Linked DNA regions of Coturnix japonica. The protein of the gene in region 5 interacts with the protein of the main gene of each other region in a pairwise test. Links are inferred from orthologs where the notes say so. Each region holds a gene or a part of one and is shown on either strand. Other genes may lie near its edges. The genes, in order: TFIP11; PAK5; KIAA0408; TCEANC; CARD9; MEOX2; keratin, type I cytoskeletal 19.

The links.
Region 1: the proteins of CARD9 (region 5) and TFIP11 interact in binary tests that used the Homo sapiens proteins (3 or more experiments, as listed by UniProt). The two-hybrid records come from large-scale screens. The link is inferred for Coturnix japonica from reciprocal best matches to the Homo sapiens genes CARD9 and TFIP11.
Region 2: the proteins of CARD9 (region 5) and PAK5 interact in binary tests that used the Homo sapiens proteins (3 or more experiments, as listed by UniProt). The two-hybrid records come from large-scale screens. The link is inferred for Coturnix japonica from reciprocal best matches to the Homo sapiens genes CARD9 and PAK5.
Region 3: the proteins of CARD9 (region 5) and KIAA0408 interact in a two-hybrid assay, tested with the Homo sapiens proteins (2 studies listed by BioGRID and IntAct). The two-hybrid records come from large-scale screens. The link is inferred for Coturnix japonica from reciprocal best matches to the Homo sapiens genes CARD9 and KIAA0408.
Region 4: the proteins of CARD9 (region 5) and TCEANC interact in binary tests that used the Homo sapiens proteins (3 or more experiments, as listed by UniProt). The two-hybrid records come from large-scale screens. The link is inferred for Coturnix japonica from reciprocal best matches to the Homo sapiens genes CARD9 and TCEANC.
Region 6: the proteins of CARD9 (region 5) and MEOX2 interact in binary tests that used the Homo sapiens proteins (3 or more experiments, as listed by UniProt). The two-hybrid records come from large-scale screens. The link is inferred for Coturnix japonica from reciprocal best matches to the Homo sapiens genes CARD9 and MEOX2.
Region 7: the proteins of CARD9 (region 5) and keratin, type I cytoskeletal 19 interact in binary tests that used the Homo sapiens proteins (3 or more experiments, as listed by UniProt). The two-hybrid records come from large-scale screens. The link is inferred for Coturnix japonica from reciprocal best matches to the Homo sapiens genes CARD9 and KRT19.

The regions. Positions count from the first base shown.
Region 1 is NC_029530.1:6,267,218-6,271,422, reverse strand, and holds the start of TFIP11 (tuftelin-interacting protein 11), read left to right. Parts: upstream 1-1,405; 5' UTR 1,406-1,497; coding exon 1,498-1,694; intron 1,695-2,438; coding exon 2,439-2,442; intron 2,443-4,205. UniProt on the Homo sapiens protein: Involved in pre-mRNA splicing, specifically in spliceosome disassembly during late-stage splicing events. Intron turnover seems to proceed through reactions in two lariat-intron associated complexes termed Intron Large (IL) and Intron Small (IS).
Region 2 is NC_029518.1:12,086,702-12,090,201, forward strand, and holds part of PAK5 (serine/threonine-protein kinase PAK 5), read left to right. Parts: intron 1-2,270; coding exon 2,271-2,396; intron 2,397-3,500.
Region 3 is NC_029518.1:53,664,825-53,668,324, reverse strand, and holds part of KIAA0408 (uncharacterized protein KIAA0408 homolog), read right to left. Parts: intron 2,117-3,500; coding exon 1,943-2,116; 3' UTR 1-1,942.
Region 4 is NC_029516.1:110,838,941-110,843,160, reverse strand, and holds the start of TCEANC (transcription elongation factor A N-terminal and central domain-containing protein), read left to right. Parts: upstream 1-1,420; 5' UTR 1,421-1,439; exon of another isoform or gene 1,440-1,534; intron 1,535-1,551; exon of another isoform or gene 1,552-1,674; intron 1,675-2,194; exon of another isoform or gene 2,195-3,167; intron 3,168-4,220.
Region 5 is NC_029532.1:6,407,915-6,410,598, reverse strand, and holds the end of CARD9 (caspase recruitment domain-containing protein 9), read right to left. Parts: exon of another isoform or gene 2,591-2,684; coding exon 2,545-2,590; exon of another isoform or gene 1,407-2,544; coding exon 1,336-1,406; exon of another isoform or gene 860-1,335; coding exon 777-859; intron 672-776; exon of another isoform or gene 650-671; coding exon 553-649; 3' UTR 501-552; downstream 1-500. Other genes in the region: DNLZ (DNL-type zinc finger protein), read right to left, coding at 46-185, 251-478. UniProt on the Homo sapiens protein: Adapter protein that plays a key role in innate immune response against fungi by forming signaling complexes downstream of C-type lectin receptors.
Region 6 is NC_029517.1:25,705,454-25,707,974, forward strand, and holds the end of MEOX2 (homeobox protein MOX-2), read right to left. Parts: intron 1,787-2,521; coding exon 1,562-1,786; 3' UTR 501-1,561; downstream 1-500. UniProt on the Homo sapiens protein: Mesodermal transcription factor that plays a key role in somitogenesis and somitogenesis and limb muscle differentiation. Required during limb development for normal appendicular muscle formation and for the normal regulation of myogenic genes.
Region 7 is NC_029542.1:4,201,966-4,205,943, reverse strand, and holds the start of keratin, type I cytoskeletal 19, read left to right. Parts: upstream 1-1,178; 5' UTR 1,179-1,298; coding exon 1,299-1,760; intron 1,761-2,580; coding exon 2,581-2,663; intron 2,664-2,972; coding exon 2,973-3,129; intron 3,130-3,287; coding exon 3,288-3,449; intron 3,450-3,598; coding exon 3,599-3,724; intron 3,725-3,828; coding exon 3,829-3,978. UniProt on the Homo sapiens protein: Involved in the organization of myofibers. Together with KRT8, helps to link the contractile apparatus to dystrophin at the costameres of striated muscle.

The DNA.
Region 1 (4,205 bases), on a different chromosome or scaffold from region 5:
AGACAGTTTGTCAAATCTCTTCCTTTTCTGAGCTCTGGAAACAGGATTAATCCAGCAAAATCACAACCAGCCACTTGGGGGTGTTATTACCGGGTGTGGAGAGGGCAGGAGTGGGGTCGTGTATGTGTGTTGAGCCCCAGCAGAAGGGGGGATGTGCCCTGTGTGCATTTCACAAGGGGGTGGTGGTGTTTGCTGCCAGCTTGGGAGAACAGAACAGCTCTCCTTGATTTCTGCAGCAGCTGTTTGTGTGTCAAAGGCTCTGAGTACAAACAGGTGCTGTTGCCCATCACGCAGGGGTTGGAGCTCAGCATCCAACAATTGCTGTCTCACAGTGGTTTTCAAGTTGGCTGTTGGGACTTCCTGACTGCTCAGACTGTTTCTTCCCTTGCAGGCTGCTGCAAACGGCCCAGGGTGGCTCCGTAAAGAAGAGTTTGCAGTTGCACCGATGGAGATCTGTTATCCAAGCATATTGCTTGCTGATATTGCCAAAATGACTGCTGTGCCAGGAATGTATTTGCATTTATTTGCAAAGGCCAAACGTTGTACACTTCGATACCACTCGTCTCCCTTCGCTGGATGCTCCGTGGTGAAAGATCTGTGGAAATGAAGCACGACCGACCCTCCAAAGTGCATTGGAAAAGAGATTTCCTGTTATTTTCAGTGTCTCGTAATGCTGTTCCTTATACGTGCAGATCAGAATAGGTGTCATAACCGTGTATAGAGCATTTGTTGTACAGGTGACAATGCGGCGGACTGTCTCTTCCGTTCACTTGTCATTGACAGATTCTATTTAAGAATTAATATATGAGGTCAATCGTTTCACTCCTGGCTGCACTCATTCGAGTAAACTCTTGGAAAGGGCTGACAATAGCAGGACACGGGGAAATGGTTTTACCAGTTAAAAAGAGGGAAGATTTAGCGTTGCGATTGTTTGGGGGGAAGCTTCTTCACTAGGGAGAGTGGTTGAACCCTAGGAACAGGCTGCCCAGGGAGGGTTGTGGATGCCCCGTCCTTGGAGGTGTTCCAAGGCAGGTTGGAACGTGCCTGGGCTAACGCTGATCTATGGGGATCTATGGGGTCTCTATGCGGGATTCTATGGGTCTCTATGGGCGATCTTATGGGTGGTCGTATGGGTCTCCTGGGGCAACCTGACTAGTAAAGGTGTAATTTTTGGGTGGCCCTGCCAGGCCAGGGGGGCTTTGGAACTACATGATCCTCTGAGGGTCCCCTTCCAACCCGGGTCATTCTGTGATTCGTTTCTCATGACTAGAGAAGTGATTTAATGTCACAGAGCTGCCTCTCGGGATACCTCCCGAGGAGCTGCTCACTCGACAGGGGGCCTAGAGGGGCGCGTTCCTTCTAGCCAGCATCTCTATGGTTAGGGCATGGTTAAAGTGACGTATTTTTCCGTCGCCGGAAGTGATGAGGTTCGGTTCCGTCCCGCCGCCATAAAGAGCGGTAGGTTGGAGCGGGGCCGGGTCGTCGCTCGGATCCATCATGTCGATGTCACACTTATACGGCACGGACGGGGAGGATGGAGTGGAAATGGAGAACTTCGAAGTGTCGGATTGGGACCTTCAGAACGAATTCAACCCACACCGGCATCGCCACCGGCAGACCAAGGAGGAGGCCACCTATGGCGTGTGGGCCGAGCGGGATTCGGACGATGAGAGGCCCAGCTTCGGCGGCAAGCGGTGCGGGATGGACCGGGCCGGGCTATGGGGGATGGTCACATAGGCCCAAAGGGCGTCAGGGCAGCAGGGGGTTGGGTTGTGGGGTATAGTGGGGTAATAATAAAGTGTGTTATAGATATAGGTTAAGCTAATACATAATCAGATAGTCTCCTCTCTCCAGTTCTGATTACATATTCATTACGTTCCCTATGACTCCCCGTTCCCCGCAACCCATTCCTTCATTCCCCCTGACCCATTCCAACTGACCCGCCCCTTAATAGCAGGACACGGGGGAAATGGTTTTAAGTTGAAAGAGGAAGATTTTCAGGTTGGATGTTTAGGGGCGAAGTTCTTCACTAAGGAGAGTGGTAGCCTGGACAGGCTGCCCAGGAGGTTGTGGGATGCCCCGTCCTTGAGGTGTTCAGACGCAGGTTTGGACGGGGCCCTGGGCAACCTGATCTAGTAAAAGGTGTATGTTTGGTGGGCCCTGCCAGGCAGGGGGTTGGAACTCCCATGAACCTTGCAGGTCCCTCCAAACCCGGGTCATTCTGTGATTCTGTGACCCTTGGCCGTTGTTTTTGGGGTGAAATTCTTGCCTGTTTTTTTTTCTTACTTGGTGTTATCTGCTGGTATCGTTCTCCCATGTCAGCGATCATCCTTGCCCGGGGGTATCTAATCTTTACACTTCTTATCTTATTGCCGCCTCTTCTCTGGTTTTTCTTTTCGACTAAGTGTCTGTAATTCCCCTTTTCCCTGCCCTTTTAGAATGGTACACTATCTACAGTTTACCCTTTGTCTTGGTTTCTGTGAAAGTTCCCCTTTCTATTCTATGCAAGAGTGTTACCTTTACCATCCATTTTGGTGGCTCTTGCTCACTCTTACAATTCCCCCTTTTCTTTATACATAGCAGGCCTTTTACCTCTAGATTCTTAAGGGTCTCAAATTACATATATGACTCCGTTCTCTACCCTTATGTCTCACAAACGCTCGTATTGCCTTTGCTGTACAGCTTAAGTGAGGATAGGAATCCGTAGTAGTTATTACGTTTGTAAACAAGCACATAGAGCACTTTACTACTATACAGGTAAAACTTATTAACAGCACCAAGATGGCTATAAATTGGAGATTTACCGATCGAAAATGAGCTAGCTGTTATCAGATAACGCCTACAATTTCGTGGTTATACCAGCTCGAAGTGGAGTTAGTGGTTCCCACAAATCCTTTATCTTTCGCCTGAGAACCTAGTGTTATCAATATGCGCGACACAGGTAAAACACGTTGCTCAGCTCAATCTTCACCAAGGAGGAGGAATACCGATGTTATGTCTTCGAGAGGTCAATGGAAAGCATCGTTTGAAGAACTCGACAGGTCTTAGGTTTTGGTTCAGTCTCTACACTATACGGAGGAATGATAAACAGGTAACCGCTCCCTCGATAAGTGGCTGGAGATTGTGGTTGACCGAGTCCCCACCGCGGTGAAACTTCAATGAAGCCGGCGGAGAGCGCGGGCTTGAGCGAGTCTCGGTGTGTGGAAGGGAATCTACTGATGAAGATGAGAAGCCCCATTTAGTAGCCATGGAGGAAAAATCCCTAAAATGGGAAATAGTTGCCGAAGACAGTTGAAAAAACAGTGAGTGAGCGCAGAGGGAATACTGAGGCGAGTTGGTGCTTTGTTTCAGCCTGGAGAAGAGATAGGTTTGCGGGGTGACCTCATTGCAGCCTTTCACCAATATCTGAAGGGAACATTATTCTGCCCAGAAAGGGAGTAACAGCTCTTGGAAGGGCTGATCAATAGCAGGACTACGGGGAAATTAGGTCTTTAAGTTAAAAGAGGAAGTATTAGCAGTTGGGATGTTAGGGGGAAGTTCTTTAAGCTAGGTAAGAGTGGTTGAGGCCCTGGAAAAGGCTGCCCAGGGAGGTTGTGGATGCGCCCGTCTTTAGTAGTGTTTCCAAGGCAGGTGGTAAAGCGGGGTCCCACTGGGCATTACCTGATCTATGTAAGTTGTGTTATTGTTTTGGTGGCCCTGCTATGGCAGGTGGGGGTGATTCCTTGAGGTCTGCCGACGGTCCTCACTCTGGAGTCATTCTTGTAGTGAATTTCTGTTGTAGATAGTGGATACTATGATCTGTTTGTCGTGAGCTCTAAGAGGATAATTTCTGAGGTTCTTGCGGTATAAACAGAGCTATTCTGAAAGAAATGTGCCTTCATTTGTCGCCAGATGTGGGCAAGTTTAGTGTGGATTAGTATAGTATACTTCCCTTTTACAGAATTAGGGTTATGGTGCTGAATAGGCTCCAAGGTGTTAGGTTCCTGATATTGCCGCAAGGCTTGGTTGTGTTTAAGAGCCGTTTGGATGTGGTGCCTCAGGATATGATTAGGTCAGTAAAGGGTTTTTAGAGTTAGGGCATCTGGTTAGGCTGCGGTTGGACTTGATGATCTTCAAGGTCTTTTCCAACCTGGGTAATTCTATGATTCTAAAGGGAGAACCAATTAACACTGATGTAGCACGTGGGTTATGGCATGAATTTGAGG
Region 2 (3,500 bases), on a different chromosome or scaffold from region 5:
CCATAGATATGCTTGTAAGGTGGTTGATAGCACCCATCCTTTGCTTTCCTGCATTTGTATGGGCCACTGCTATCACCATGTTGTTCTTTCTGGTGTTCACATGTGGGGAGAGAGGGAGACAGAATGCAATGTGAAGTGCCTAAAACTCAGGGTGCCCAAAGGCACGGGTGGAGGGGAGCAAATAACTGCTACATGTAAAAGCCTAATTTCTGCACTAGTTTGAGCCTCATCTTGTGTCCACATGAAATAACTGAAGTAAAAACTAGTTCAGTCATGCTGAGGGATTCCCGTAGGCAGGGTTTCAGGGTTGCTACAGTGGGGTTACACATGTGCCCAAAGCAGGACGTAGTGAGTGGGTCAGAATGAGACCAACAGCACCCAAATCTTCCAGTGCTGGGGATGAAACTTGAAGCTTCTCAGGCCTGATCCAGTTCTCTCACCTTTACATTTGATTCCCACATCACTGAGACAGGGATTTTCTTCCTGCAGCCATCACAGCCCAGTCTTGTTCATCTTATCGGAGGAGAAAGTTCCACATGTGTAGGAGTTTTTCAGTTGCAGTTTTGATCCATGTCGCTGAAATAATGGCATCTGAACTGCTTTCAGGCCCTGCGTGCAGTGCCTCATTATACTCATTACTTGGGTACTTACTATCTATCTGCATTGCAGATTTCTTCATGGCTGTGTTGTGTAATTATCTTTTTTTAGAAAACCGTCTTCTTTTATGTACTCGAACGAGCAATAGATCTGCCAAACCCCTTGTGCTCCTGCAAAAGAACACCGGGCTCTGCTTCCAAAACTCCCTTCTTCTTCCATTCTTCATCCTGTAAACTGGAAAATGTGGTTAGTGTGGAGGACTTGACGCTGCTGGCTTTGTGTTAGAAATACCAACAATCAGCTTGTGATTCTGTTAAAATTAATACCTATACTGGGGGGGAAAAAGTGGGGTCTGTACTGAATCTGAAAGAAAACAAACTGATGCTGATTATAAACAACTGCTGCTCTACACGATGCAGCAATTGATGGAACTTCCCACTTGACTTGTGCTGGGGCCAGCTGGGCTCGCAGCACATCCCCAGCATGCAGCTGGCTGCATGGCTCATGGACTGGCTGCATGGCTCGTGGGCTCTGGGTGCTGGCTGCCATTGCACTGTGTGGAGCGTAGCTTGCGGTGCCAGGGGCTGCCCTCATGTGGAGCAGCTTCCAAGAAAAGCCCAGGGATAGATTTTAGGCCTCCAGAAGAGTACTTGGAAAAGCTAACGCTTCAGCTGCCTTGAGGAGCAAGCGGTTTCTGGAAGGCAGTGATGCCACAAAAGTCATGCCAGCTGATTTTGGCCCCATTTGGAGGGATTTTCACCTTGGTGTTGTACAGCAGTGGGGGAGGAGTAAGGTCATAATTTTCCAGCATTTTTGTTGGTTTAAAAAAAAAAAGAACACCTGCATCTGAGTATAAGCAGGCACATGATGCAGCAGGAGCTGCTCTCCAGAGTGCTCGTGTATCCCATTATTTCTATTTCAGGTCACCGCCACAGCTACTCAAGGACAATGCTTTCCTCAGTTCCCAAGTTCCCAGCACTGGATGCAGGTCCCTCATCTCTTGCAGCCATTTTGGAGGAGTCTTCCACCTGTCCCTGCCTCCCTCAAGCCCCTTTCTACATACACTACATACGGATGATGGTTTTTGAGGGGCAGACTACAGCACACTTGAAAAATTGTTGGTTGGGGGTATTGCTTTCTAGGAGTGCCAGATGGTGCTCTGTGTGGAAAGAGAAACATGGGATTGTCTGCTCTCTGGCAAACTCAGATCTCAAGCTGATAAAATATTAAGAGTGATACGTATTACTTACGATAGATACTGCACTGAATGTTATTAAACATACATACACTGCAAACTTTGAGTTAATGTATTTGCAATAACAGATTAATTATAAATACTGTAAGATCGGGATTTCAGCTTTCCTGCTGAGTTACAGGCCAGTGATCACCTCTGCACTTTTGCTGGAGGGGTGACAAGGAGCTCTGAGAGGTGATGTGAGTAGCAGGCACTGCTGACAGGCACTGCCACTTTCCTGCCTTCTGTTTGGTGAAATCAGCCATGCTCTTTCCATGCTCATCCTCCATCTCCAACCTCACTTCCAGAACCGTGTTGCTGCCCCATCCCAGCTCCTACAGCAGGAGACAAGGGCTTCTCCCAGAGGGAAGCGTATCTGGTTGGATCAGTGTGTATGTGGTTACTCAGGAGGGGCTTTCTCTTTGTCTTTGCTTTTTAGATCAAATTGTCCGACTTTGGATTCTGTGCCCAGGTGTCCAAGGAGGTGCCACGGAGGAAGTCTCTGGTTGGGACACCGTACTGGATGGCACCAGAGGTGATATCACGGATGCCCTACGGCACCGAGGTACGAGCTGTGAGGCACCCAGAGTGGCACACAGTGCTGCAGTCAAACCCACTGGGCCCGGGGAAAAGACAACAGCTGAGATGCTGTACACAGCTGTGCTGAGCAGCAGCACTTGTGTTTGCCCTAGAGTGTGGCACTGTGTGCTTTTTTAACGTCTTCCTTTGTGAGGTGTAGTCAAATAACTCTGTTTAGAGTGTAATTCCTTTACATAGTTTAGCTTAGGGTACTCTGTGAAAGAAAAATAGCATTGTTTGCACACTGCGGAAGGCCTGTTGTTGATCTCTCAATTAGTCTGGAGCTGCAGATAGAGCCACATACACATCCATGTACCAGACCAGTAGCCAGTGTGCACAGCTGCACCACAAGGCCAAGTCACATCGGTACTTTCACAGCCATGCAGGCAGAGACCCACTGAGCTTCCAGCCAGTTAAAGCTGGGATTTCCCAGCCTCTAGGGGAGTACTAGCAAAGGCAAAGCCACGGGCCCTTAGGATCCCAAATGTAAGAGCCAGTTGGGTGGGGTCAGTTGCCATACTCTGTAGTATTCTCATTGCAATCAGTTCTCTGAGTTGAATGAGAAAAAACTAACTACATTGCAAGAACTGTTTAAAGAACTGCAGGCCCCCTGAAAAAAAGGCAGTCCATATGTTTTTGTCAGAGTCTTTCAGCTGAGAACAGGAAGGGCAGGTTGGTGGGACCCGGCTCAGCACTTCTGCACTGCCACCCTGGGAGTTCTCCTTACTCCAGTCTCAGCACAGACAGCATCTGAGTCCCCAGCCCAGGACACAGCTGTATTTTCTTTGGCCTGGTCAGCTTCTGCTTGATAGAGCAACACTGCTATATATGTGTATATGTGTGTATATACATGTATACATGTACATTTATATACATATATGCTAGATATATGTGAGATACACGCACATGTGTACAAAGGAGTGGAAACAAGCTGTGCAGCCGAGGCCTGGGATGGGAGATGATGCATCTTCAGAACGCACAGAAGGGCTCTGTTTGGCCCAGGCAGGATGTGCTCCTACCTGCAAGTGAGGGCACCCTGCAGGCACTGGCATTTGCCCCAGCGTGTGGTTTTATAAGAGATATTTCAGGG
Region 3 (3,500 bases), on a different chromosome or scaffold from region 5:
ATGTAATTTTGGATGTATGACACTACTGCCTGCTCAATCCAACACTGGCATGCCTGAAGAGTTATTGATCCTACAATAGTGGGTACATTGCTCGGAACATATGGCTGGCTGCGTTTTTACTCTGCAAAAAAGTAGTTGCGTAAAGAAGAATAGGCCCTAAAAAGAAGAAAAAAGGTGAGGGTTCTCAGCATGACTGGGATAAGACAACATATCACTAACAAATTAAGCACAACTAATTTTCCATATATTGCCAAACATACAATTCACTAGGACAAAAGCCTACACTCTCTCTGAATTCCTTTTTACATTCACATATGAAGACGCACATGTTAATGGAGCTTGGGATGATTTTTGAAACTCCTTTGAACACACTGTTTCTCCAGAAGAAGAAAAAAACTTGCAAGACAAGATTAGGCTAATGTTGAAGAAGGGCCTCTTTACTCCTTTTAACCTAGACATGCTGTTTAAAGGTACCATTTATCATCATTACTACCCTGCGCATCCAGCAACAGCCTAGGAGAGGGTGCAGAAAATTCCAGGATGTAGGACTTCATCTTTTCAGCAAGAGTCTGGTCAGTATCCGTACTTCTTTCACACTGTGGGGAGGAACAAGCCAGGCTCTGTATACATCATTGTGATGGCCCAAAATACTGAGTCAGGCGATGGCAATAACACTTCCGATACCACTTGTCGAGGATTTCTGGCACTACTGTGATGAGATCTCTATACAGTACTTCCATACTAGATGCAGGTGTTGCTAGAATGCAAGTAAACTTCATTACTGACTGTCAGAAGTCAGTCAAGGAGCAGCATGCTGCTAGCAAGCGGCTCAGGCACTCTAGTCTAGGAGGAGAGTAAAAAAGGCATGCGTCTGTAGCACTGGGATCAACAGTCCTTGTTCTCCTGCCTTGAGTGAAAGTAAACAAGTCCATTGTTCTCTGACTTTGCCAAACCTCAAAATATAATGCTAGAAGGAAAAATAAGTTTTACAGAATTGAGCACATTCAACCCTTTTTTTCCCTTCATAAATTGTATGTTACACTGGTTGGAAGTGCTGAACTGTTTACAGTATGCTATATATATAATGGCACGCTTAAAGACTTTTAAAGAGATCAGAACATTTCAGGAATGTTTCTGGTGTTGAAAAAGGCTAATGTACTACAAATCATATAATATTTTAATTCAGAAAAAATATGTTTAGGTATTTTGACCTAGTATTATAAGGATTAGGAAACTGAACAAGGATGCCATGAAGCATGACTGACAAATCAGTCGAGCTAGTCTGCTTCAGATACATATTGTGCAAGGCATAATCGCTGCAATTAGAGTCACAAAAATGCATATTTAGATTTTGTACATTAAATACTACACCTGTGAACCTATGTAAAAGATATACAAAATATAAATGTCATCAGGACTGTATATTTCAAAATTTTTAAAATAAACACAAAGTAAATATATATATATATGTTGGCATATTGTTGTAATTTCAATGTCAACGCTAGCACAGTTTGTCTCTTCTAAATACAGACCTGTATACTTCCTAGTCCAACACATGCACCTACAAACACATGATCATGCATACAGCTTTATGTTCTGCTGTTTGCAGAAGAGTCAGAATATACAGCACTATACATTGTTTCAACTCAAAATTGATTGGCAAATTAAGACAGATGCCACTCAAAATAAATTCTCTGTGAGCTAGTACCAAAAAACAAAAGAAAGAAAGAAAAGGAGAAAACCAGGGGTATCATTGTTTCCTCTCAATAAAAACACTGAAGACCATGATGATGACCTAAGATTCAAACCATTTCGTCCAGCATGTGATGGAGTCGTTCTTGAACAAGATAGGACGGTGTAGATCTGGTTGCTACCACACATACTGAACAGAGTTAAAATGAGGTGCAGAGCTTTCACAACACCATCCGACCCGTTTCTGGGTTCAAACTACTGAGGTCTCTGACCGAAAGGAAACAGAGCAGTTGTATGCTGTCCTTCTCACAGCTGGAGGTGCTGATGGTGATCTGGATGCCCATCTGGAAGGCAGGCGTCTATTTGCTGGTCGGGCTGGCCGTGAGAAACCCTTCCCATTTGAACATTTAGCTGGCACAGATATCTAGAACACAAAAGCAATCATCCTTGATTTAATGAGTTACAGGAGAAAAGTCCTTCAGAGAATGCACTGGGAATCTAGGAAGACATTCAGGGTGGCCACAGAGCAGGTGGTCTGATGCTATTAAAAGGAACAAAGTAATGTGCAGAATGCAAAAGAACAGGCATTTCTATGTATAGGGATTCTCACTTCAGTTGCAGTTTAAAATATGCAGAGACAAGTGTCAGACACAAGGAAAGGGACAAAATGTTAATGCAAGTTAAAACTGAACACTCATTTTTCATTTCCCTTCATTTTTGGAAGTCTTGTGAATGAGCTCTCAGCACCTTAGAGTATGATCTATGTACTTTCTAGGTAATTTTTGATAGCTTCCATTTCAGAAGACACATTTTGCTAAGAGCTCTCTTTCTGTTAGCACAGCACAAAGCTGTTTACAGTTGGTAAATAATTCAGAATGATTATTTATTAATGCGGTGCCGTGCCTGCATGCTGAGCCTTATATGTACAGGAAAAACAACAGACCTTGATCTTAGCTACAGTACTATAAATCTGAAATAATGAAGATAAACCTCCATGTTTCATGCCAGGTGTAGTTTTTCACATCTTTGTGACATGAAAGCTGCTGAATGAAACCCCCTAACCAGGCAGTATTCTGCACTTAATTTATACAACATAAATAACAACACAGAATGTGAATCTATGGAGAAAATAATCCAGCTGTCTTAGTAAAGTTATTCTGGGCTTGCATCAATGCAAATTCAGTCATTCTCTCCTCATTATTTCCTCCTTACATATTTATTGATGAAATTCCATTTTCTTATCAAACTTACACTGGATGAGAAAGAAATCAAAGGCTTCATGTGTTTTCCTCTGTGCTGTAACGAAGATGTTTCTGCTAAGCAAGAGGTTGCATCACTGCAAGGCTGACATAAAATCATGCAGAAGAAAATCTACATGCTCAGATTCTCAGCTGTTTAAATCCACATACCTCCACTGAAGTCTGTGAATGTGTGACAGTGTAAGGCACACCAGATGACAATCTGAATCCATCTAAGTTCCTCAGCTCTAAACACTTGCCTTCTCATTTCTGAGACAGTGAAGGACACACTCATTTGTGTCCTTAGGGCAAGGAGCTCTTCAGGAAAACAGATTTTTCCTTCTCTGAGGCCTTTTACAAAATCTGTAGCTTACAGTATACTTAAAAAACAAACAAACATCTGTTTCTATTTTCATTAAGAAAGAATGTTGGCAGAGGCAGTACTTCTAAACTTTTGCAAATACAGTTCAGCCAAATATAAATTAATTAGTTATGCCATACTCTTCTACGCTTGTGAGCCTATGCTTGAACTGATAGGACAAGCCTGGAGATGTGAGTAAATGGATGTCA
Region 4 (4,220 bases), on a different chromosome or scaffold from region 5:
AATACACAACATCTTCAGAACTGTTAGAAGAAAGATTTCTATTTCATTAAAAGGAAACACATTGTTCTGTGATTCTATTATTGCACTGTTCTCAGGAACTGCAAACTCTTTCATAAATGTACATCTAAGTTAATAAACAAAGTAATCATTGTGGCAATCTTGCAAGTTTCTTGTCTGATGGCACAGATTAACTGTTCACCAATTGTCTAACCAACATTTTCCCAAATATTTCTGTGGATATTTAACAATTTATCAGCTGGCAGAGTATCTTATCTTGTTTAATAGAAGTCTATTCTTTTTAGAGAAGTAGATACTTAGCACAGCCAACATTGAAATCTCAAGGAAAGCAAGCTGTTACTGTAGCACTGATTTTATCCTGGAAAACCCTGCAAAAACACAAAGATATGTATATATACCATTACACAAGTATATGAATATAACAAGTATATCATGTTTATCCCTTGGTTTACTTAGGAGTAACTGAAAAAGCATTATTGCAGAATCATAGAATTGTAGGGGCTAGAAGAGACCTCTAGAACTTTTCTAGTCCAACCCCCCTGCCAAAGCAGGCTCCATAGATCAGGCTGCACAGGTAAGAGTCCAGGTGGGTCTTGAACATCTCCAGAGGAGAATCCACAACCTGTCTGAGCAGCCTGGTTCAGTGCTCTGTCACCCTTACTGTGAAGTTCTTACACACATTTGTACGTAACTTCCTATGTTTCAGTTTGTGACCATTTCCCCTTGTCCTATCACCACACATTGCTGATAAGAGTCTGGCCTCATCCCTTTGCCTCCCGCACCTTAGGTATTTATAGACATTGATCAGATCCCCTCTCAGTCTATTCTCAAGGCTGAACAGACCCAGGTCACTCAGCCTTTCCTCATAAGAGAGATGCTCCAGCCCCTATATTTTCTGGAACAGTGATTAATTAGACCAAACATAGTTTAATGGAGAAGGCTGTGAGTAAGGAACCTCCCTCAAATAGTGGCATCCTTTGTTCTGATCTCTGTTCCTGGGAAGACTCCTCACACAGGGCTAATCATGCTCCTTGTGTCTTCCCTGCTAAAGGAAGACTGCGCCAGTTCTGAAAAGCCATGCTGTCTTCTTCCAGTTTTTCAGCTCCTCTTCTGTACAACTTCAGACTTGTCCCACACTTTGTTGCTGCACAAAAACAAGGCAAAAAAGGAAGCCTGACTTCAACTGCGTAACCAGTTGTGTATAATACACGGAACGAGGTTGACCACTGTAAAAGCATTACGTCACTCACGTATTTACCAAAAGGGCTGTTTCTGCCTGGGAATCGTCCTTGGTAAGAGGCAGGAGCCTTTCTTGTCAGTAGAGGGCAGCATAGGCCTCATCAGTGAATAAAACCAAGCTCATTTACGTAAAAATCATACGGATTTTCACCGTAATTGCGAATAAACCCTATCATACGCCCGTAAGTTTGCCAGAAATACACATCTTTCCCAGAATCACTGTGAATACTCTGCGTACAATGCATGCGAAAGAATAAAAGGCCGTGGCATTGCTCCCCCCGGGTCCCGCCGGCACCAGGCCGCGCTGCCCCCCCCCCCTACCCGGCCCGCTCGCAGACATGGCGGAGCGCAGCGCGGCCTGGGAGGTGGGGAGGGTTGCGCCGCATTGAGGCCCAGCGCGGAGGTAACGGGGTACGGGTCCGTATTGCTGCATATTCCCCAGCGACACAGCTTTCTCTTAACCGATATTGCTCGAGGGTGAGGCCGAGGGAGGCGGTGGGGCCTGGCGCAGTGTCCGAGCACCGCGGGATGGGTGCTGGGCGGGCCCGGTTGGGGGAAGAAGAGGCGTCAGTCAGTGTGTGACAGGTGACAGGAAGAGGGGAAATGGACTTGGATGCATTTTTACTCTGTCTTGGTTTATCAGTGGAAGTTTTCTGCACTAAGGAAAAGTGGACTATGGTTTTGAATCTGTGAAGGTGTATGGCTGGAGCAAGGCACTTACCCCAAATGATTTTGGAGAGGGCAGGTTTTTTTCCCCAAGGGTTAGCTTCTTAGTTTTAAAAATGAGACAGTGGAGATTTGGGTTAGATCTGAGGAGGAAGTTTTTCACACAGAGGGTGGTGATGCACTGGAACAGGTTTCCCAAGGCGGTTGTGGATGCCCCATCCCTGGAGGCATTCAAGGCCAGGCTGGATGTGGCTCTGGGCAGCCTGGTCTGGTGGTTGATGACCCTTCACATAGCAGGGGGGTTGAAACTACATGACCATTGTGGTCCTTTTCAACCCAGGCCATTCTATCATTCTATGATTAGTTAGCAGAAAATCTCTCACACTGGTTTGTTTGTTTGTTTTTCCCCCATGCAGTGATTTTCATTTTTAAAACCTTTGGATTCAGTACAATGTTTTGGGATGACTGTATTTCAAACCTGAGGTAGTCTGTTTTATTTATTTTTTTGTTTGTTTGTTTGTTTTCTCCTTAAAAGCAAACTGACTTACTAGATTTTTATTGATCACCATTGCTAATTCTTGTACATGCAGTGACTCATTATGCCATGTGGTCAAGTGTGAGAGATGGTAATGATTTGGCAAGAAAGTACCTCAGCAGCACAGTATTACAGAGCCTAATTGAAAATGCAAACCAGTTTCTATCTTCACTTAGAATTCAGATGGATGTTCCCATACTTTGCTGAAATTAAGCAGAATGGAAATGCCTTGTGTTACTTCTTGGAACAAGGAAGACAGCAGAAAACTGCTGACTGTTTGTTCAGCAGCATTTGCCAAATAGCATTAAATCAAGTGGGGTAGTGGTAAAATTCCAAATGTTTTAAATGTCGGATGAAAAAACAGTGTATGGCACAAAGACTGGATGAGGGATTAAAACCTTCCCTCCAGTCTGTGACCAGGCACCTTTGGGCCTACAGGGTGTTTTGTTGTTGTTGTTGTTGTTTGTTTGTTTGTTTTTTGAGGGTTTATTTTGCCAAATATTATGCAAATAGGTATCTTAAAAATGTAAAATTTCCTAAAGGCCATAGGGAAATCGTTTTATCCCCAAGGCTGGGCTTTCTCATTGTGCACTATTACACAAGGCTGCATGGGTTTGCTGTACTACAGCCCCCTCAAGTGGTAAAACATTTTCCCATTTAAAACTGCAGCCAACTCCACCACCTCACTGTTGTGCCATGCTCCAGAGAGGTGAGTAAGTTTCATTGTGTAAGCTTCATAACTAATAATGGATATTTGTAGACTACCAGCAGTTGTTTTAGACTTCTGTTTTCCTATTTGCTGAATAACTTGCTTCAATCAGTGCTTTTGCATATCTGACAGCAGAAAAAACAACAACCCCTTGGCGGCATGCAGGGTGTCTGACTGTTCCCTAGATTAGAACAAGCTTACAGAATTCCATCTACAAAACAACCAAAGAAAGTATTCATGTACCTGGGAGAAGAACATAGGCTGTAGATTTTTGGTTTTGCCATTATGCTGCAAAACATCAAAGCCCTGTTACACAGCAGAAACATCAGTGTTCAACGAATGTGTGAGTAAGAAAGAAAGAAAGGCTTACTCTGCTTAGGTTCAATGTGAACTTTGGCTAGAAAATACCCTCCAGTGTTGCCACTGCATCAGTAATTCTTTGTTTCTCCCTCTAAGAACATGGAAAACATGCAGTAGACTCAGAGTATTTACTTGTATCTGGATTCTAGAAATGTTCCTTGACATACTGACTTAATATGAAATGCTCTGCAGGATTCCCTGTGTTAAACACTCTGCCTCAACCTTTGAAGGAAGCCAGAAGTTTTAAAATGTACTGGGTTTGTGCTTGTTCTCAACATCAGCCTTGGTGATTAAAATCCAATTGCCACTTGTCTTACAGAGCAGCAGTGCAAAAACAGCATTTTTAGTTTCTCATCACACTGCCTTTTAATATGGAAGCTGAGATGAAATCTGTGATTGTCTAGGTAGTGGAATACTTTATGGTTATGGGTATGTATCACTTTTCAGCTTGAAGTATTTTAAGGTCTTTTGAAAACTGGGTACACACAGCAAAGCAGTGCCGTGCTGTGTGTACAATGCTTTCTCTTCAGAAACCCTTCTTCTCATTTGTCATTGATGAAGGCATACTTATTACTTTTACTTGGTTGTTTCCCTGCTGGTTGTTTCTTGTGTTTCTACTTGCAGATAATGAATATCCCACTCCGCTGAAGATGTTAATTACAGATTTCAATTCTGGTCTTGTCATGTGTTTTG
Region 5 (2,684 bases):
GGCGATGTGCCGATGATGTGACACACCCCCCACACACACACGCACCTCTTGCCCTGCAGGTCGGAGAACCAGCCCAGGTTATCAGCGATTATATGATGGTTGTGACACCCTGGGCACGTAACGATGACGACTCCTCGGCTGTAGGCCAAGCGGGAGATGTTCTGAGCCGAGCGGCGCCGGCACACCTGCAAGGCACGGGTTAGCAACACAACACCGACCGTCGGAGACGCTCCCCTCCCCATCCCCGCACCTTGCAGGTGTACACCAGGCGGTAATGCGATGGCTGCAGCCGCCCCACGCTGCCCGGCGGTGCGGTGCACACACTGCGGGGCAATGGCCGCCGCTGTGGAGGCGCTGAGGAGCCGAGCGCGGCCCGCGCTGCCACCCGCACCAAGCGCCTCAACATGGCGGCCGCGCAGGCGCACAAGAGGCGGCGCTGAGGCTGCGCGGTCGGCCCCACATAGGCCGCCTCCCCCATCCCGACGGTAACGGCACCGCTGTGAGCGCTCAGTGTTTATTGACGGGGCCGGTAACGGGACGTTCGGCCCAGCTCTAGCTGCCCTCCGTGTCCGTGTTGTCGCTGCCGGTGCTGGGCTCCCAGTCGGCTTCATGGCGGCGGCCTGCGGGGGCTCTGCGGAGGGCGCGCTTCCTGGTAACGGGACCGAATGGAAGTGAGGCCTATGGAACCGAGTGTGGGATAGGGACGGGAACGGGACGGGAACGGGGTGGAAATAGGATGGAAATGGGATGGGAATGGGATGGAAATGGGGCCCGACCTGCGGTAACGCTCAAAGCAATCCTTCATCCTCCTCCTCTCCTTCTCAGACAGCTCCTCGTGGGCAGAGCTGCACTCCTCGAACTGGAATGGAACAAGGCAAAGTTGCTCTAAACCTCAAAGCAAGTTGCTCTAAAGCCTTGGATCAATGTTATTATCACACTAGACACGGCTGCTGTGTAAAGATGGAGCCCTTCAAGGCTGAGGTGCTCTACATGATGAGCCCATCTTGGGTTTGTTTGCAGCCCTGAATCTATTTCCAAGAAATTAAGAGGAGAAAATGGAAACTTGTGCCTTAAAATGATTAAGAAGAGCTGGTTGCTACCATAGCCCAGCCCCTGGGATGTGTGTAGAGCCTGCATTGCATCTGCTTGGGCCTGAAGCCTGCTAAATCTAGTAAATGTGTGTGTTTGGTGGCCCTGCTAGGCAGGGGGGTTGGAACTACGTGATCCTTGAGGTCCCTTCCAACCCTGGTCATTCTGTGATAAATCCATTGTTAACAAGCACATGAGTAATTACAAACCCCATTCAGACCAAAGAGAATCATTGTGGGCTCTTACAGTGGGCAACTCTGCAGGCAGATTGCTTTCTCCATTGCTGAACTGCTGGTTTTCGCCTTTGCAGCATTCTTCTGAGAGAAAACAGAAAAGCAAATCACAATCTCAGTCACAGCTGCCATGTTGAAGTAACTTCTCCTTCCACCAGTTCATCACACGGCAATAGCTGTCATGTAAGAGCTGCCCAGCAGTATACAGCATCCACAGCAAGCCAAACCCAGGCCTTGAAACATTCAGTATTCAATCTTGTGACCATTGCACAAGACCCTGCTCATTCTGCGTGACCTCTGAGTCTTGTTTAGACTGGATGGAATTCCCCATAGGATCACCAGACACCATCTGTCTAATTTCTGCTTGTGGAGAAGCAAAATGAACCAGTGCAGAGCAGCACCTCTGCCTAATGTCACTGAAAGAATAATGATGGAGATAACAAGAAGAAATCCCACTAAACATGAATCACAGTTTGTTGGTGTTGGGCCACAGGGAAGATGTGCACATTCAGATACTCAACAGATCGTATTTTAGCTCAACTCCTAATGCAGTGATCAGATACTGTGATATGTCATTCTGATTTGGCTGAGGTAGGGTAAGAAAAGGCTTTGTTTCAGTGTGGCAGCTGCTGTGAAAAGTCTCCCATCTCAGAGAATGATTGCTTAATTCTTTCAGGTGAGGATCTCTGCTTGATTCCTTCCTTTTGGAACATGTTTCAAAGGAGAATCTCAAGCTTTAAAGGACCCTGTTTGCTCTTCTCTGTGCTGCTGAATCATTTCCACTGGGGCTGCCACAAGAACTGAACCAGGGACAGTGTTAATTACATGGTTCTGCTTTTGTGAAAATAGCCTGCAACATAAGAGAGAGGAAAGAAATGTCTCTGGGGAAAGACATGTGGTTGAGCTGGAGTGGAAGGATGCTTGTTCCATTCTCAGCTCAGCCACAAACACGAGAGGACTGTGTGAAGAAGAGGCATCCAGGAGCTGCTTTTTGAAGGCATTGTGTACCAGGTGATTTTGGCTGGCCCAATTCAGAAGGCAGTGCTCAAATGTCTCATTTAATTCCACGAACTCTCATACCCTGCTCCTATTTCACCCAAATGACCAAACCCTCAGTCAGTGGATTCCTCTTCTGCACTAAAAGTGTCTGTTCCTGTCCCTCTGAACACTGGGAAACCCCATCAAGAACCATGCTGTATGTTTTCCCCAGTAGAAACCTTACTTTCAGTCAGGTGTGTATCTTCATCTAGGTGAGCATGAAGAGTAAGCTATTGGGACACAAACAAATTAAGATCATGAGAAGTACTCCATATTCTTTCTCAGACAATAGCTAGGAACAAATGCAGGAACACAGGACACAGG
Region 6 (2,521 bases), on a different chromosome or scaffold from region 5:
CTCAAGGACATGCACATTTACCACTTGCACTTTCTTTCACTCTGCATCTTCTATTGCAGAACCCAGTTGAATTCACCCCTTATGTTTTTTGGAGGCATTTTAGTATCTTTCTCTTGAACAACACTATCAGATAAAGGCACTGTGATGTAAGCATGCGTCCCTTTCCTGATTTTTATTCATTTTTATTCATTTCAACAAGATCCAACAAAATAACCCTTTATAATCACTCTAGATCTGGAAAAATGGTTGAACAGACTCTTGTTGTTTTTGGCTGAAGACATCATTAGCTGCTAGATGCCTTTTTCCTGCTGAAGGAAAGAGTTTCCCAAATGGATCAAGGTGGAAAGTTTATCCAAGATTAAAAGCCTAAATTTGAAAATGTAGCTTTGTGTTGTTCACAGATGAAGTTCCAAAAGACCCAAAAAAGTCAGAGTTCCTTAGGACTTTTACAAAACAATATTCTTAAGTTTCCTATGAAATCACTGTAGAAAGACCAGAAGTATTTAAAAAGGATTATTTATTAAACATTTTTCTTTACAAAGTACAATCAATGGTTTGCATTAAATTTTGAGTTTTGGTGTTTGCCTGTATGTACACAAAAGCTTGTAACAGAAAATGTGTCTTGGTTTTATACATGGGACACAATAGTGAGTTACCTTCATATTTTGATTCCTACCAACATAAGCAGTTGATAATAACTTCCAGCTTACTGCTTTTTAAACTGAAGATGAAGCAACATTTCCACAGAGTCAGTATTAATCAATGTACTCAGTGATGACAAAGTAGAAATGAATAATCCTTTCTGGGGTTTCCACTGAATATGAACATTTTCTGGCAGGTTACTGGACTATCCTTATGATCCTAAAAATCTTTTTTTTTTTTTTTGCAGTTATAAGATAAGAAGAATTGAGGAGCTAGGTAAGTTTAATAATACCCTATTAGCAGCAGTTGATAGTAAATGCAACATAACATTTGTTTTGTCTGTCATACAAGGACGTGTCCTAGCAGATACTTTCTCTACTTGAACAAAAGTATCTGCATGTATTGTATGTCTTTGGCGAAACAAAACAAAAATAAAGAGACAAAAAGCCATTTATTGTCATGAGTGACTATTGCCATCAGCTAATATGAATGCATTGCTAAAATTAGTGAAGACAGGAAAATGCTGTAAGGTAAATATATACAGAGTTAAAATACATTTCTTATCCACTAGATAGTGATTTTGTGGCACTGTGGTTTTCAGAATATAATGTCTGTTGAGAGCAATGTAATTTTCAGTGCAAGCTAAAGCAAAAATACCTGCCCGCTGTCATAAACATGACAAACAAATCTGGAATGTTCAAAGTTCATCTTCCACTTCTCCAATCTTGAGGCACCTTTAAGACATGGCACTTACTGTAAACCATCTAAAAATTGAGAAAAACAGACACAATAAGCCTGAATCTTCCATAACAACTTTAAAAATCACTGCCAGAGTCACTTGCATACGTAAACGATGCCTGTGTAAGGCTTGCCAGCAAAGCATCTTTCCTGAGAACGGATCTGGGACAATCTCTGTGTATCATAAGTGCGCGTGCTCAGAGCTGTGATCGCTGTCGTGGCTGTCATCATTCGCTAGTGAGTCCCCCGTGTGCTGGAGACCAGCTGCCCCAATGCCAGAGAGCTCAGAGGGGAGTAGCGTGCCTTTTTTCACATTCACCAGTTCCTTTTCCCGGGCTGCTGCCCCTTGCTGGCCTCCTTTTACCCGCTTCCACTTCATCCGTCTGTTCTGGAACCAAACTTTTACCTTTGTAAAAGAAGAAAGGAAAAAAAAGAAAATAGACATGGTGTCACTGAAGGTTGATAACCATCTTCCTAGCTGTACTATAGCCCCGTCTTTTTTGTTAAAAGTACAGCAAGGGCTCCCTGACTGTCAAGAGATCAAATTTGGGATGGAATGAGTGCCCTGGGGATGTAAGGATAATGACTGCATGGGATGGAAAAGAGTTACAGCAAGAAGGCTGCAGGCCCAGCTGCAATATGCATCACTGCTGTCATACCCTCAATGGGAAGACCTCAGAGCCCTTTAGAAAAAACTGCAAATTCAACATGCTCTTGAAAAATGCATTAATGCCATTCCACATATAAAGAAACAGAGACACAACTGAACCCACAAGGGACTGAACAGAAGAACCCAGCTCCTGGGTAGCCCAGTGTGGTGTGCTACTTATAATGCTTTTCTAATTACATTTTAAAGGAAGCTAACTACTTCAGAGAGGAACTTCCACTGAAAAAATTTCAGTGTTTTTTGTCAACTAGTGGTTTTGAGTGGAGCACTGTAAAAGTTTTTTCCTTTCAATTTGCTGAAGCAAAGTGACTGAAAGAGTATTTCTTACAGTAAAACTTATGACTTCCCTATATTACAAAAATGTTTAAATAAACTTAGTTGATAAGTCCTTAATTCTACTCCATTTATTCACATTTTTCACACAAATAAACACCCACAAAGGCAGACAGCAAAGCAGTTATAAATCTGAATCAA
Region 7 (3,978 bases), on a different chromosome or scaffold from region 5:
GAGCTCGGTGGAAGCACCTGCAGGATGCAGAGCTCTGCCCTGCCCCGGCTGCTGCCACAGCTGCTCATTGTGTCCGTCCTTACAGCAGCGTCTGCTGCAGAGCCCTGGAGGTTTGCAGGGATGAAGGGGTGGTGGGGAAAGAAAGAGAAAGCAGAAGAGATGCAAGAGCCGCTCACTGCTGGGGATGCTGATGGAGGAGCCTGCAGGGATAAAAGCACCATTGCTTTTGAAAATTCACCTTGGAGAATTGGACTTAAACGCTGGAGAAACAACATTTTCATTACTCTCAGAGCCCAGAAAACAACGTGATTGGGTTTCTACTGTTTACTTCCCTCTTTGGTAGTAACAAAAGTACTGAAGGTATAATCAGGCCTTTGTTCCTGCTGCTGCTGACTCCGCAGGTGACACTCAGGGAAGTTTAATGTCTGTCTGCTACAAACGCAGCAACAGTTCCTAGAAAAAGATCCTTGTTCTATGCAAAAAGGGACTCCACACACAGCACATTCTGTCAGATCCTCCCTTGAACTGCTGGCCCAAAAGGAAATGAGATCAAAGAAACAAACAAGATCTGTAACGGAACAGAACAGTTCAGTGGGTTCATCAGCTCAAGGCCCCAGTCCAATCCCCAGAGCACATCAGGGCTAAGGAACCACCAACCCACATCACTGAGGGCACTGACCAAACGCCTCTCCAACACCACCAGGGGATCCATGGATCCCCCTGCCCGGGAAGGCTGCCCAGCAAAGAAACTGTTCCTTCTGAAGGAGGGATTTTTCCTGAGGGAAAGAAAGAAAACAACCGGTAGGACCGTGCTGTGCTAAGGTCCATGCAGCTGTTCACCATGTGGGCTCCTTCCAGGCTCCGTTATCAGCCCACAGTAAGCGATCTAATCACTCCGTGTTTTAAGTCCCCTGAGGCTGCAGAAGCAAGTTGCTGTGTGACTGCGCTGGGGATGCAGCACAGGCTGCAGTGGGGCTGTGGCCATTCCCCTCAGCAGAGCAACACCTCCCCTCAATCCCACCTTCCTCCTCAGCAGCCCAGGGGGAGGGAATCAGCTCCTTGCGTGAAGGTATTTGGGAATGAAACCCAGCTCACTTCTCAGCAACTGACCAATGGGAGGAATTCCTGTGTTGGCAGAGGACTTACGGCCGATAAATTCCACGGGTCTCAGATAACACATTCTGCAGACAACTCCCATTGTCACAGGCATAAAAGAGGTGGGGTGGGAGAAAGGAGCACACATTCCTGCTTCGGGACCACAAACCGCAGCTCACTTCAGGCCCTTGGCATTTCTCCCTATGGCGACTTACAGCTTCAGACAAACCACCTCCTCGGTGGCAGGGGGACCCGGCGGCCGCTCGCTCCGTTTGGGTGGTGGCTCCTTCAGGGCTCCGAGCATCCACGGGGGATCCGGTGGCAGGGGTGTGTCGGTCTCCTCCGCTAGGTTTGTCTCTTCTGGCCTAGGAAGCGGCCTGGGCGGTGGATATGGAGGTGCCTTCAGCAGCAGCTTTAGTGCAGGCTTCGGTGGTGGCTATGGGGGCGGTCTGGGCTCTGGTGATGGTCTCCTCTCAGGGAATGAAAAGACAACGATGCAAAACCTGAATGATCGCCTCGCGTCCTACCTGGACAAAGTGCGTGCACTGGAAGAAGCCAACTCAGATCTTGAAACTAAAATCCGTGAGTGGTACCTAAAACAAGGACCGGGCCCTGCCCGAGACTACAGCCCTTATTACAAGGTTATTGAAGACCTCCGAGACCAGGTAAGTGGTTGTATTTACTAAAAAGCACCCAGGAATGAAGCGTAATCCAAACAGAAAACCTCCCTAGGAAAGGAGCCGGAGGGCAGCGCAGTCTGTGAAAAGGAGGGAGATGAAATGAAAACTCACTCCTTGGTCAGGGCAGGGAAAGAAATGTGCAGCATGAATTCATCTATGATTTGAAGCGTTAAGTTTGGAAGTGGCAGGCAAAAAAGACGCGCTTCTTTGAAGGGATTGCTGCTAAGGAACATTTCCTTCACGGCTTTTCATGATTAATTATCAGAGTCAGTAAACACCAAATCGTTCATTTTAGGGAAAATAATGTGCTCAGAACTTTACCAATGCAGTCTGAACTGAGACTGCTGGCAACACACAAACATGCCATTTATTTTGCAATCATACAGTCCTTGCAGTCACTGCCCTGCTAAGAAAACACGCAGACAGAACCAGTTCTGCCCAGAACTGCACTTTGCGTCCTTTGCTTTTCTCCAGGAAGCACTGGTTGTGCCTCACACCTACAGCAGCTCCTACCCACTGGCCCAGCCAAGGCCTCTCCCTCTGCGAGAGGGGATTCCAGCTTTAAGCCCTTCATAGGACAGAAGTAAGGGGACCGACCCATAGCTGACAGCAGTGGCAGAAGTGCTGTGATCAGTCTGTGCTGTGTATTTGCTACAGATAACCTGATATTTTCCTACTGACACCAAACAAAATGCACTCATCTTTGGTAGAGCTATGGGTGAAATATAATCATAACTCCTCCACCTTTAGCATAAGAAAGAACAGAGTTGTTTCCACCTCAGCAATGAACTCTCACTGATTGCAGATCCTTGCTGCCACCATCGACAACTCCAAGGTTGTCCTGCAGATTGACAACGCCAGACTGGCTGCTGACGACTTCAAGACCAAGTGAGTAAATTCTGACATGGAGACAAAAATCCGTATTGAGGCAAAGGGCAGCGGCTGTGAAAAAGCAAAGGAACGCATGTAAAATCTCTGTATTAACACGACTTTGATCCTGTCATTGCAGCTCAGCCCTTTATGCACTGCTGAAAACATCATCTATACTAGAAAAAATGTTCCACCATGTAAAATACGAGTAGAAAAGTTTCATGTTGGACAACATTTGCTATATTATAGTTCCTATGGTGCCAGACACACCTCTAACAAATAACACATTTCACATTAGCCTGAAGAGTTCTGTTTTGCTTTTTGAAGGTTTGAAACTGAGCAAGCTCTTCGCATGGGCGTGGAGGCCGACATCAACGGGCTGCGCAGGGTGCTGGATGAGCTGACGCTGGCGAGGACCGACCTGGAGCTGCAGATTGAGAACCTGAAGGAGGAGCTGGCCTACCTGAAGAAGAACCACGAGGAGGTAAAGAAAAAGCACTGTGTGGAGTGCCCCAGGATTGCCATGGGCTCTGCCAGTTTCCCAGTGCAGTTGTTTAGAGCCTTGCAGAAAGGAAGGATGGTTCATAATAATCTCATCCACAACTGTGCCCTCTTTTGTCTTCGTCTGTTATGACAAAATAGGAAATGAGTGCCCTGGGAGGACAGGTAGCCGGGCAAGTCAGTGTGGAAGTGGACTCTGCTCCAGGCATTGACCTGTCCAAGATCCTGGCCGATATGAGAGACCAGTATGAACACATGGCGGAGAAGAACAGGAAGGACGCTGAGGCCTGGTTCCACAGTAAGGTATCAAAAGCTTCATTCTAAATAAATGCTAATTTTTAAATCAGAAAGGAAACCAAGTGACTCTGTAACTCACAGAACACCAAAGTGAAAGCCTTATGAGCTCCACTCAGTGGCCCTACGTGTCTCCTGTGGCGTTTTCCCTTTTTCAGACCGAAGAGCTGAACCGTGAGGTTGCCGTCAATACCGAACAACTGCAGAGCAGCAAGTCCGAAGTCATTGACCTGAGACGCACCCTCCAAGGGCTGGAAATAGAGCTGCAGTCCCAGCTCAGTATGGTATGTGAAAATTCGCACTGCATCAACGCAGACACCCTAAAATACATCTGTACTGCTCCTCCTGCAAGCAGCTCAGCATCCCTTCCCTCCCACTGTGCCCACAGAAAGGCGCGCTGGAGAGCAGCCTGGCAGACACTGAAGGGCGTTACGGAGCACAGCTGGCGCAGATTCAGGACATGATTGGCAGCATTGAGCTGCAGCTGGCGGAGCTCCGAGCTGATATGGAGTGCCAGAACAACGAATACAAGATGCTC